Cricetulus griseus: one gene and its partners. The protein of the gene in region 3 interacts with the protein of the main gene of each other region in a pairwise test. Links are inferred from orthologs where the notes say so. Each region holds a gene or a part of one and is shown on either strand. Other genes may lie near its edges. The genes, in order: proprotein convertase subtilisin/kexin type 5, Fbln5 and nuclear fragile X mental retardation-interacting protein 2.

Region 1 (3,002 bases), on a different chromosome or scaffold from region 3:
GCTCTGTCAGCCTTGAGGCCGCTAATCCTTCGTTTTAGATGGGTCCTGAGCATTCACAGGAGAGATGGCCTTTCGGCTCCCCAGAAGTACTGTGAAAGAAACAACAAGCCCCTTTTCGCGCTCTTTACAGATTTTCTTCTTAAACACAATTGAAAGGGGAGAGTCCTCCCACCCCAGCCCCAACAACTCTCTGGTACTCTCCACTACATCTCTCCACTAGTGGGTCAACTATCAGAATTCCAGAAGGAAGCAGGGGTCTCCAGCAGAATCCTTACAGGTCCTCTGTTCCGTCCACTTTAGAAATCATGTTAGAGTGTTCAACAGATCTTCCACTTCCACTTCCTGCGTTTAAAGTCTTGACGAACCCTCGAGGAAAATGCCTTTGAATTCTCGCTTTTCAGGATCTGTTCATTGCACTCAGCTAGTCAAGAGCAGCACAGCAGACTCCAGCATCCCTACATATTTAGGTTGGAAACAAAGTTAGGACAAAGCACACACACTCGAACCTCAGCCAATGCGATGGTAGCCCCAGGCAAGGCTGAGAGCCATGGGGACTACAAGGCAGGCTCTGTTTACTGGAAGGAGTAGCTCTCATCATCGTACTCCAACTCATCATCTTCTGCCTCCTCCAGCAGCCCGTACTTGAACTTCCGGTAGACAGTGCCATCTTGGCTCATGTAGACGATGTCATCCTCATCATCTTCATCATAGTCTCGGTCCCTGTACTCGATCACCTGGTCCTCCTCAAGATAGCTGCTCCTGTAGGAGGAGTATGACACGGTGGGTTCCGCCAACTTTTCGTAGCGCCCCTTTGCCACAGGTCGGCTTCGAGACTTCCGCCACACGACCACAGCGGCCCCCAGCAGCAGCAGCAGCATGGCACCCGAGGTCACCAGCAGGGCGGTCTTGGTGCGCTCCGAGGGCACGGTCTCGCTGACTGGAAGGATGCACTCCTCTGATACCAGGCCACCCCAGAGGCAGCAGCAAGAGAGAAAAGAGGAAACAGAAATGGGAAAATCAGATTCTGAAGTAAAGAACTGCCCCTCCATTTCTTTTCTAAACCTAAAATGGTAGAATCAGTGGTTTTTTTTTTTTTTTTTTTTTTCGTTTTCTTAGGAGGTATACCACTTTACAAAACTCAGTATCTGGCCCACAAGAGTCCCAATCTATATTTAATAAAACCAACTGATGCTCCTAGAATGGTCAATTTAAGATTCCAAAGGGACCCCAGATCCCTATCTCATGGGCCAGTCTCTAAGGGTCCAACATTCTCAGTGATTTTTCCATTTCTGAGATGTGTGTGTGTGTGTGTGTGTGTGTGTGTGTGTGTGTGTGTGTGTGTGTGTGTATGTGTGTGTGGTGTGTCTACTTCTAAACAAGAACTCTGAATTTTTTTTTTAAAAGATGGAGATGTCTCTTTAACTGTTTTTTAGACTGGTGCCACCCTTCAAGACCAATGAAGCATACTTTTATAAAGCCTACTGACTCTTAGTCATGTGTGGCCTTGGAAATTATTTGGGCCGACTTGCTTGTCATAGACAAGAACTATTTTGTGTAACAAGTAGACTTTCCAATCCATTAGCCTCAACTCTAGGTGGGATTCTGGAGGCAAATTCTCTGACCACATGTTTGGTTTCCTTGAATAGCCATGGCATTCCCTGAGCAAGAAAAGGCATGCTTTATCATCTTAAAATCCTGACTGCCATTAGCAAGGGATTTATAGTGTAATTGAAATTATTGAATTTCAGGGCCCTTCCCTTTCTTATTTATAAGCCTCTTTTTTCAGGGCTTCCCTGAGGATGTTGCAGCACCAAAACAGTGTATGGCATAGCTTGAGCATTTAGTTGATTTTTCTCATTTTATTTTCATTCATTCAGGCAGTATGATTTGAGTTGCTTAACTACTTTTATTACCTTTTCTTTTTAACCTACCATACAGTAAGGCAAAAAGTATAAAACAGCCAGAGGAATAGGTATCTGCCCAGTTGGATGTACAAATTTTTAATACAAAGTAGGCTCTTCCTCCCCTCCCCTTCCCTGCCCCTCTTTCGTGTTCTTCTACCCCTCCACAAGGACCTTGCAAGCACTCCTGCAACTGAGTAACCCCTGCACACACACACACACTTCACACACACTTTTATTTTGCTGATGCTTAACTTCTATTTTATTCTAACAGAATTTTGCCCATCTAGCAAAAAAAAAATGTTTCCTCTAAAGTAACAGTATTATCATTATTGTATTCAACATTACCAGTGTCAGCACAGACTTTCCCCCTGGAGGAAATATGAACACACTAGAAGGACAGATAAGTAATCTGTCCATGGCTCACAGCTCCTGAGGCAGGAGAATGTTCAATGGACCTTTGGAGGTTGTTTTCTTTTCAGAGTGCTGAATGCACTCAGGTCTTACAGTTCTTAGTCTTAGGTGTTGGGTCAGGGTCAGCCTCTACCATTTGGTTTTTCTTGAGGGGAAAGCTGTCTCAGAAGCAAAGACTCAAGTAAGCTTGAATATCTGGGTTCGTTATTTCTCCCCATACACATACTTCTGTAACTTTCCATCACGGAACTGTATCCTTAGCCCAAGAGGATTTTTTTTTTTTTGGTAGGGTTTGCCCCAGATAACTCTTTCAGAGCCTCTTAGGAACCAGGAAAACTATCAAATTATTTCTTGGAACTGACATTTCAGAAACTGCACCCAAGAGGCTCATGCTTCTGTTTTCATTTAAGAACATTGATGTAACAGGGCTCTTGCTCTCAGCTGTCAGCCCAGCTTCAGACCCTGAGGGGGGTGCAGATAAGGGTCTGGCAAACCAGCTGCTCTTGGTGGGTAAAAGCTGAGAAAGGAAAGTTCTTGGAAAGGTGAAACCTGGAAACTAATTGAAAGTCTGAAACAAACAAACAAACAAAACAATAAACAGCTGGTATCAGTTTTGGGTTTTGGATTTTCTTTACTTACAAACAACAAACATAACATACACTGGTTTTGGTCAGGGATGACACATCT
Region 2 (3,753 bases), on a different chromosome or scaffold from region 3:
CTCAGCAGGAAAGGGAGCTTGTCATCAAATTTGATGACCTGGTGGCCAGGACCCACATAACAGAAGGAGAGAAACAAGTATTAAAAGTTAACTTTTGACCTCCACACATGCACCGTAACAAATGCCCCAAATAGATGGATGGATAGATAGATAGATAGATAGATAGATAGATAGATAGATAGATAGATAGATATACAGACAGAATGAAGAAAAGGTGACAACAGGGACGAACCACGAGGACATCATGCTGTGAAATAAGTGACTCACACAAAATCATGTAGAATTCAACTTACATCATGTACCCAGAGTTTTTAGACTCAGAAACAGAAAGCAAAATGGTGGCTCCCAGGGCTGTGAGAGTATTCAATATGTACAGAGTTTCTTTCATATTTTCCCCTTTTTTATTCTGTTTGCTTTGTGGCTTGGGGTGCCATTTCATTTTTGAAACAAGGTCTTACTCTGTAGCCCAGGCTGACCTACGATTCACAATATGGCCCAGGTTGCCCTCAAATTTGTGGCAGTTGTACCTCGGCTCCCTGAGAGTTGGGATTACAAGCCACAGGCCACCATAGCCAGCTTTTGCTTTTTAAGACAGGGTCTCAAATACAGCCCAGGCTAGCCTCAAACTGGCTATGCAGCCAAAGCTGGCTTTGAACTCTTGATTCTCCTGCCTCTACCTCCCAGATGCTGGAGTTACAGATGTGCACCACAACATAGGTCAGGGTACAAGAGCTATTTTGCAGGATAAAGAGTCGTGGAATCATCACATAGCCAAGTGAATGCACATAGCACAATACAAAAGGCATACAGACGCAGGGGTCTAGCGGGTTACTAGTGTTATTCAGTTTTCTAGTATTTGTCTGACAACTACTGTTTGAGCATAGACACTGGACAAGAGTTACAGACCTGTGGCCCCATTGCCCACCACCTGAGCTGGCTACTTTGCAGCATGGACCAGGAATGGAGCTTCCCTTTGATGAGAATGCTAGAAAAACCCAATGGATGCTAAGAGTCAGGCTGAGGGAGGGACAGCAAAGTCAGGGAAGGTGTCCCAGAGGAGGCGGTCTTGGATGTTTTGAAGCATGGCCATGAACTTGGGGACCTAGTTGACCTGGTTGGAGTCTGAGGCTTGTTGTGCTGCCCTACACCATGGCTCTATAGTCCCCGCCTTCTCAGAATTAGTGCTCAGGAGATTACAAACTCATTCACATCCCTGTCACATGGCTCAGGAGAAACAGCAGTAGGTAAGTAGAGGACCCAGAGTTAAAGTGGCATCCAGATAAAATTGAGCCTGATGCACTGGAAGATGCAAACCCACTTCCTTCATGGAGTCCCAGATCCAATCCTGAGTAGACAAGTTTTCGTTTCATCTAAGGGCCTATGTGAGCCAGGTTCTCCAACACTCGCGACAGCTCTGACCTTATAAAGTGCAGAGCCAAATCCCGGGGCTTTTTGATATTTGCAAGAGCCAGACTTTATATCTGGAAGGAATGAGAGAACAATAACAAATTTATTTTCCAGTCTGTATATTATGAATTTCAATGTTTTCCTGTTTCTTCACATGAAGTTTCCTTTCAGGTGGTTATAAAATCCTGTCTCGTTTATGTTGGAGACAGAACAGCCTGGCTATATGCAGGGGAGTTCAAGAGCGACTGGAAAAGGCATGCTAATCCTACCGGCTTTCCCCCCCTACCCCACTCCCCATTCCTTTTGGCTAGAGCCAGCCCAGGGCCAGCCAGCCCCAAGCCCAGCCTCCTGGAAGAGCTGTGGCTGGGTCCTGGGGGCCAAATAAGCTCCAGGCTAATGGAAAGGCGTTCCAGAAGGAAATAGTACCCAACTCTGCTGCTCCCACATCAAGAATAGCTGTAGCTTGTCATGAAAACCTTAAAAACTCCAAAAATGAAGCATAATTAATACCGGAGAGGGAATCTGTGTTCCAAAGCTTTTCTTTTGAATCTTGGTCGGCCATACCCCCTCCCCGCCAAAAAGGAAAGTGAATGAAAACAGACCCTCCAACTCTCAGAACTGTCTGTCATTGACAGACACTGCAGGTCTGGACGCAGGATGACAATATTGCTATGGCTTACCATAATATGGCTCAGCTTGTATTAGCATGCATGCACCCCTCCCACACGCAAACACACACAGAAAGTGTGTAGATCTGTGCAGGACAGCTATGTTTTCAAGAGACGCTGGAGAAAGGCGGAACAGATGTCATCCTTAAAGTTCCTCAAGGCTCAAGGATTATTTGACTGGAATTGCAATTTCCGCAAAGAACAGCAAACATTTGCTTACATGCGTCTCTGTCTGCAGTGTCCACTGTTCATTGGCTCGAAACTTCTGGGTCCCATGCCCTCTGTGAATCGCACACATAGAGCAAACGCAGCCAGGAGTGTTCTGAGACTCCCTCGGCTTCTCTCCCGCAGCCTTCGCAGCAAAGCTGGTGCCGTGGCCAGCGGTTTCCCAAATTTAAAAAATATGTAGTGTGATATTTTGTAAAGTGCGCAAAAAAGTTGCTGCCCTTTCCAAAAAAGAAAGAGGAATGACACAGGGAGGTTGTCTGCAGCCCTCTCTCGAGATGCTGGCTCCGGACACTGTTAGAAAAATCCCCACTCCCAAACGAAGGCTTCGAGATGGAACTTTGAGCGAGCGGCGCAGCTTTTTGTAATTAACAGTGTCATTGCATCACTAGCTAAACTCTTTTCCAGTGCCCTGACACGGGCGGAATCTCAGCCATAGCCATTTTTCCACCCATCAGGTCTGGAGTTAGGTTTCCCGAGCCTGGAGCCTCCGAACCTACCTTTTTAATCCTGGCATGACCAAGATGCGCGGGAGGAGAGGCGATGCGAGGAAGGCAGACTCTGCGGCAGGACCCGGGCGACTTGCTTCCGGAGGGGCCGAGCGGGCTGCGCGGAGGGCCGGGACAGTGCCGGGTGCTGGGAGCCACTGCAGAGCCCTCGCCGCCAGCACCTGGTTTCGCTTAACCCCCTTCAGTAATTCAGCATTAAACCAATTGGAGGAGGAATGTCAAAAATGAACACTTCATTTTCTAAGTATGTTAAACAATGCAAATGGGGCCTCGGTCTGGACACAGCTGGTTCAGATTACAGCGCTCACCAACTGGCTAGACTCCTCACAACAATCTTGGGGCGTCTGCCAGGGCCAAGTGCTCGGCGCTGGGAGGGGAGCCCGGCAGTGCGCCGAACTGGGGGGCGCCCGGCCTCCCCTGGGCGGAGCAGGGCGCGCGCGACGGGGAGTGTCATCCCGCCCTGTAGAAGCACGAACTTGAACTCACTACCAAGGGCTGGGACGTGCGTGATGCTCCCAAGCAAGGATGTGGGGCAGGAGCGGAGAAGGGAGGCTGTATGAGATCAGAACTTCAAAGGGTACGTCTCTCCTTGGCCGCCCTCACATCGCTCTCCTTGGCCTTTTCTTGCATTAATTAGTAAGTGTCTCTGGCCTTCAAAGTAAGTAAGAATAGTGAGCCACTCATGGGCCCTGGAAGCCCTCTTTCCTCTCTTCTCTCCTCTTCTCCCGGATTCTTCTCTCCTCTTCTCCCGGCTTCTTCTCTTCCTTCTTCTACTTTCCCTCCTTCTTGTTTTCTAGCACCAACTCTAGAGGAACCCGCTCGATCTAGTGCAAAAGTACCAAAGACACTATGATCCAAAAGACATGACCAGACTGTCCAACCTACAGTTCAGGAAGCTCACACCAAAGAGGTCCCCGCTCTTTACCCCAGGTCCATGCAGCAGG
Region 3 (3,653 bases):
ACCCCATTGATTTTGGAAGATATCCCCCAGGTTTTGCTGATCTGTCTGAGAGGGCAGATCTACTTGTGCGGTGCTTAACAGCACCGTTTGCATATTTGAAGGGTAGATAAAAAGGCTAGACTTAATTTGCTCAACAGCTGCTGAAGTCAGACTTATGTCCTGAAGAACTGAATCAGTCCCAGTAGAGATGGGTGTTAAAGTACTAGCAGCAGTAGTTAGCAGTGGCTGACCCCCTGATGGATACACATTTCCATCAGTTCCTGCTAAAACAGGCCCATTAGAAAAGTTGGCAGAAGTAACAGATTTCAGAGCTGACATGGGGACCTGGGATAATCGACTTGAAGATTGGGTCTGAGTTTCCCCAGTAGATAGTGAAGAGGATGACGATGAGGATGGTGACACAGAAGAGTTCTGTACAGTTTTGTTGAGGTTTTCCTTAACTTTGCTTGCATAACTTATTTTAGGAACTATTTTAGCACTGCTATTGTCCACTGGAAAAACTGGGGGTGGTTTAAACAAGGTCCATGAGTCCTCTTTGGAGGCAGCAGCTGAGGCATGCTTTCCTTTAGGCCGATCATCAAACTTTTTGCTGCTCAAACCAGGTTTAATATCTGAGCTTTTACGAAGTGTGTCTCCCACAGCAGGTTTTCCACGACTTGTTCCTCCAGGCCCAGTCTCATACTTCCAAATAGGCTTCGAACCATCTGCTCGAGTTCCTTTTTGTTCACTATAGTCAGGCTTTAAACTTTCAAGTCCCTGTTTTAATGCTGGGACACCAGTCTCTTGCATTATTTTGTCCTGCACTAAATTAAGGTTTTCACAACCCTTGGCACTATTGCGCCTAGCTTTCCTTTTTTTAGGAGTAGTATATCCACTCTCAGATCCGCTACCATCATTATCTGCTCCTTTGCCCATATAACCATTAGTAATATAGGCTGAATTATTTGTTATAACACCATTTGGAATTGCTACGTCGTTCTTATCTATCGCCTGGTTCTCTCCAGATTTGTTTTCGTAAGACTTCCCATTCTTTTTGTCCATACTGTTTTTCTGAATAAAATTCTTGGTTTTAATTCCTGCTTTTCCAAAGGTGCTGGTCTTTACAGTCTGCTTCAGGCTAGGGTCTACAACTTGCTGGTTGCCATTGAGGACCCTAGAAATAGGGTTAGTAGCTTCATCAGAACTGAGGCTCTTTAAAGATATTTCTCCAGCATTACCATTTATTTCACCATAGCCTACAGAAGGAAAAGAAAAACAAAACAAAACACATTTAAATCACATTAGTACTGAAGACTAGAAATTGCTTATTAAATACCAGATACTATGCTGTAGGGTTTGTTACCTCATAACACCATGAAAAGAAAATTGTCAGCACCATATCACAGATTATGAATTCATTGGTAGGCAGAGTTAGGACATAATTCACATCAGGTCCATCTACTGGGCCACTAGCCAGAATTAACTAGAAAGAACAGGACCTCTCAAGCAGCATGCCATAATACTCCTTTAGATTATCTAAACAGAATAAACCTAGACATTATGGCCATGAGGCTATTATAAAAATTTCCTCACAATTAATTAAATGCAATACAATCCAGGCGGGTATAGTACCTGCCTGCAATTCCAGCACACTGAAAACTAAGGCAAGATGATTGCATGTTTGAAACCACCTTGTGCTACAGGGTAGAACCTTGTATCAAAACAAACACAATTACAACCAGTGCTACCCTCTGGGCAAAATCCCAAGTGTTCAGACACAGAAAAATGTAAAAGAAAAGAAATTATGTGGCCTTTGCCTAGCATGTATGACCACTGAATTCAAAATCTAGTACTAACCCCCACCCCACCAAAAAGGGGTGAAAAATTAAAATCTTTGGCTTGCTTTTTTTTTTTTTTTTTTGAGAAAGGGTTTCTCTGTGACTTTGGAGGCTGTCCTAGAACTAGCTCTTGTAGACCAGGCTGGTCTCAAACTCACAGAGATCCACCTGCCTCTGAAAAATTAAAATCTTACATGGCTAGTTGCCAATGCATCTAACACAGAGAGCTATAATGCCCAGGGACTTTCATATCAGGTCATACCGTAACACATTAAACAAAAAAATATGTACCAATGTTTCTAACCCTTAAAATTTGTTCTTTAAAAAAAAAAAATTGTTCTTATATTTGGGTTAAAAGCCAAGCCCTAGGGAGATAAAGTAACACACAGGCCACAAAGAGACAGAACTAGAAATCTAAACTCTGTCCTGTCTAGAACTCACAGGTTTCTACCCTTATGCAATGCTTGCTCACAATGAAAGAATCCAATTTTTTAAAATTGTCAAGTATCTGAATGTAAAACTTCCCTGTTGATAGTTAAGTTTAAAGATTACAAGTGATCTACTAGGGTCACAACTCCTACTTGCTAGTAAAATGGTAATTAGCCATCAAATGTTTTATGACCTCTAAAGTCCTTTGGGAAATCCTCAATTCTTAATAACTAAAAAAAATGTTTTTTGGTTTTTTGATAAAGGGTTTTTCTGTAGCCCTGGCTATCCTGGAACTCACTCTATACACCAGATTGGCCTTGAACTAAGAGATCTACCTGCCTCTGCCCCCACCCCCTCCAGTGCTGGGATTAAAGAAGTGTGCCATTACCTCCTAGTAGAAGTTAACTTCCTGACCGACATACATGAAATCCAAGCGCAATCCTCAGTTGTTAGAAAAAAAAATTCCAGTGCTAAAGCACTGTTTTTTTAAAAATCTATGATACAAGTCAGACTTCCTGTGTTGCTTAGGGATGAGTAGTTCTAGCAGGTGCTCTACCACTAAATTCTATCTGTTCCCAAATAAAAGTTTTCATGGAGTTGTGGCCATACCTACAATCCTAGCACTGAGAAAACAGAAACAGGGGGATCAGTGAGTTTGAAGCCAGCCTAGATATTCTACATAAATGAATACCAGGCCAGTTGGAACTACATTTTAGGACCCCGACTCAAACACATTTTTTTTCCTCTCACAGAAAGAGTCTAACTATGAAAAGAGACAAGACCACTATGTGGTGTTTTTTTCCTTAAAAATTTCTTAAAAAAAAAAAAAAAAAAAAAAACCGAAGAAAGCTGCTGTGTGGCACACCTTTAGTGGCAGGAGGATCGGAGTTAGAGGCCAGCCTGATCTAGAGAGAGTTCTAGGCCAGAGCTGCACTGAGAAACCCTGTCTCAAAAAACAAATAAGCCAGACAGTGGTTCATCCCGGAAATCCTGTCTCAACAAAAAACAAAAATTGGGGGAAGGGGAGACCCAGATCATCATTAAATTTGCCCTTGTGAAACTCTGGACCAAAGACAAGAACTACCTCACCATTTAATAGCTCAATAGGTTAAGCAATATCTGTATCTTCTGGCTTATTACTCATAATTTTTTGTATTTCAACTAAAGGTGGGCAATGCTACATGCATAATTAAAGTTGATGTTCAAACCAAGATGAATCAAAGCATTCTTTTAAGTAAACCAGAATAATTCTACCTAAGAGCACTACTTGTGATTCAGATACCAGAAATCACTCTTGGAAAATAAAGCTCAGATAGGAAACAGTGGCCCACACTAATTCCAGCTACACTGGAGGGTGAAACACCAGAATTACAACTTAATGGCTGAGTGTTAGATAGCTCCTGCCTA

What was found.
Region 1: the proteins of nuclear fragile X mental retardation-interacting protein 2 (region 3) and proprotein convertase subtilisin/kexin type 5 interact in binary tests that used the Homo sapiens proteins (3 or more experiments, as listed by UniProt). The two-hybrid records come from large-scale screens. The link is inferred for Cricetulus griseus from reciprocal best matches to the Homo sapiens genes NUFIP2 and PCSK5.
Region 2: the proteins of nuclear fragile X mental retardation-interacting protein 2 (region 3) and Fbln5 interact in binary tests that used the Homo sapiens proteins (3 or more experiments, as listed by UniProt). The link is inferred for Cricetulus griseus from reciprocal best matches to the Homo sapiens genes NUFIP2 and FBLN5.

The regions. Positions count from the first base shown.
Region 1 is NC_048596.1:43,663,916-43,666,917, reverse strand, and holds the end of proprotein convertase subtilisin/kexin type 5, read right to left. Parts: intron 956-3,002; coding exon 573-955; downstream 1-572. UniProt on the Homo sapiens protein: Serine endoprotease that processes various proproteins by cleavage at paired basic amino acids, recognizing the RXXX[KR]R consensus motif. Likely functions in the constitutive and regulated secretory pathways.
Region 2 is NC_048598.1:104,199,203-104,202,955, reverse strand, and holds the start of Fbln5 (fibulin-5), read right to left. Parts: upstream 2,352-3,753; coding exon 2,296-2,351; intron 1-2,295. UniProt on the Homo sapiens protein: Essential for elastic fiber formation, is involved in the assembly of continuous elastin (ELN) polymer and promotes the interaction of microfibrils and ELN. Stabilizes and organizes elastic fibers in the skin, lung and vasculature.
Region 3 is NC_048600.1:91,086,043-91,089,695, reverse strand, and holds part of nuclear fragile X mental retardation-interacting protein 2, read right to left. Parts: intron 1,236-3,653; coding exon 1-1,235. UniProt on the Homo sapiens protein: Binds RNA.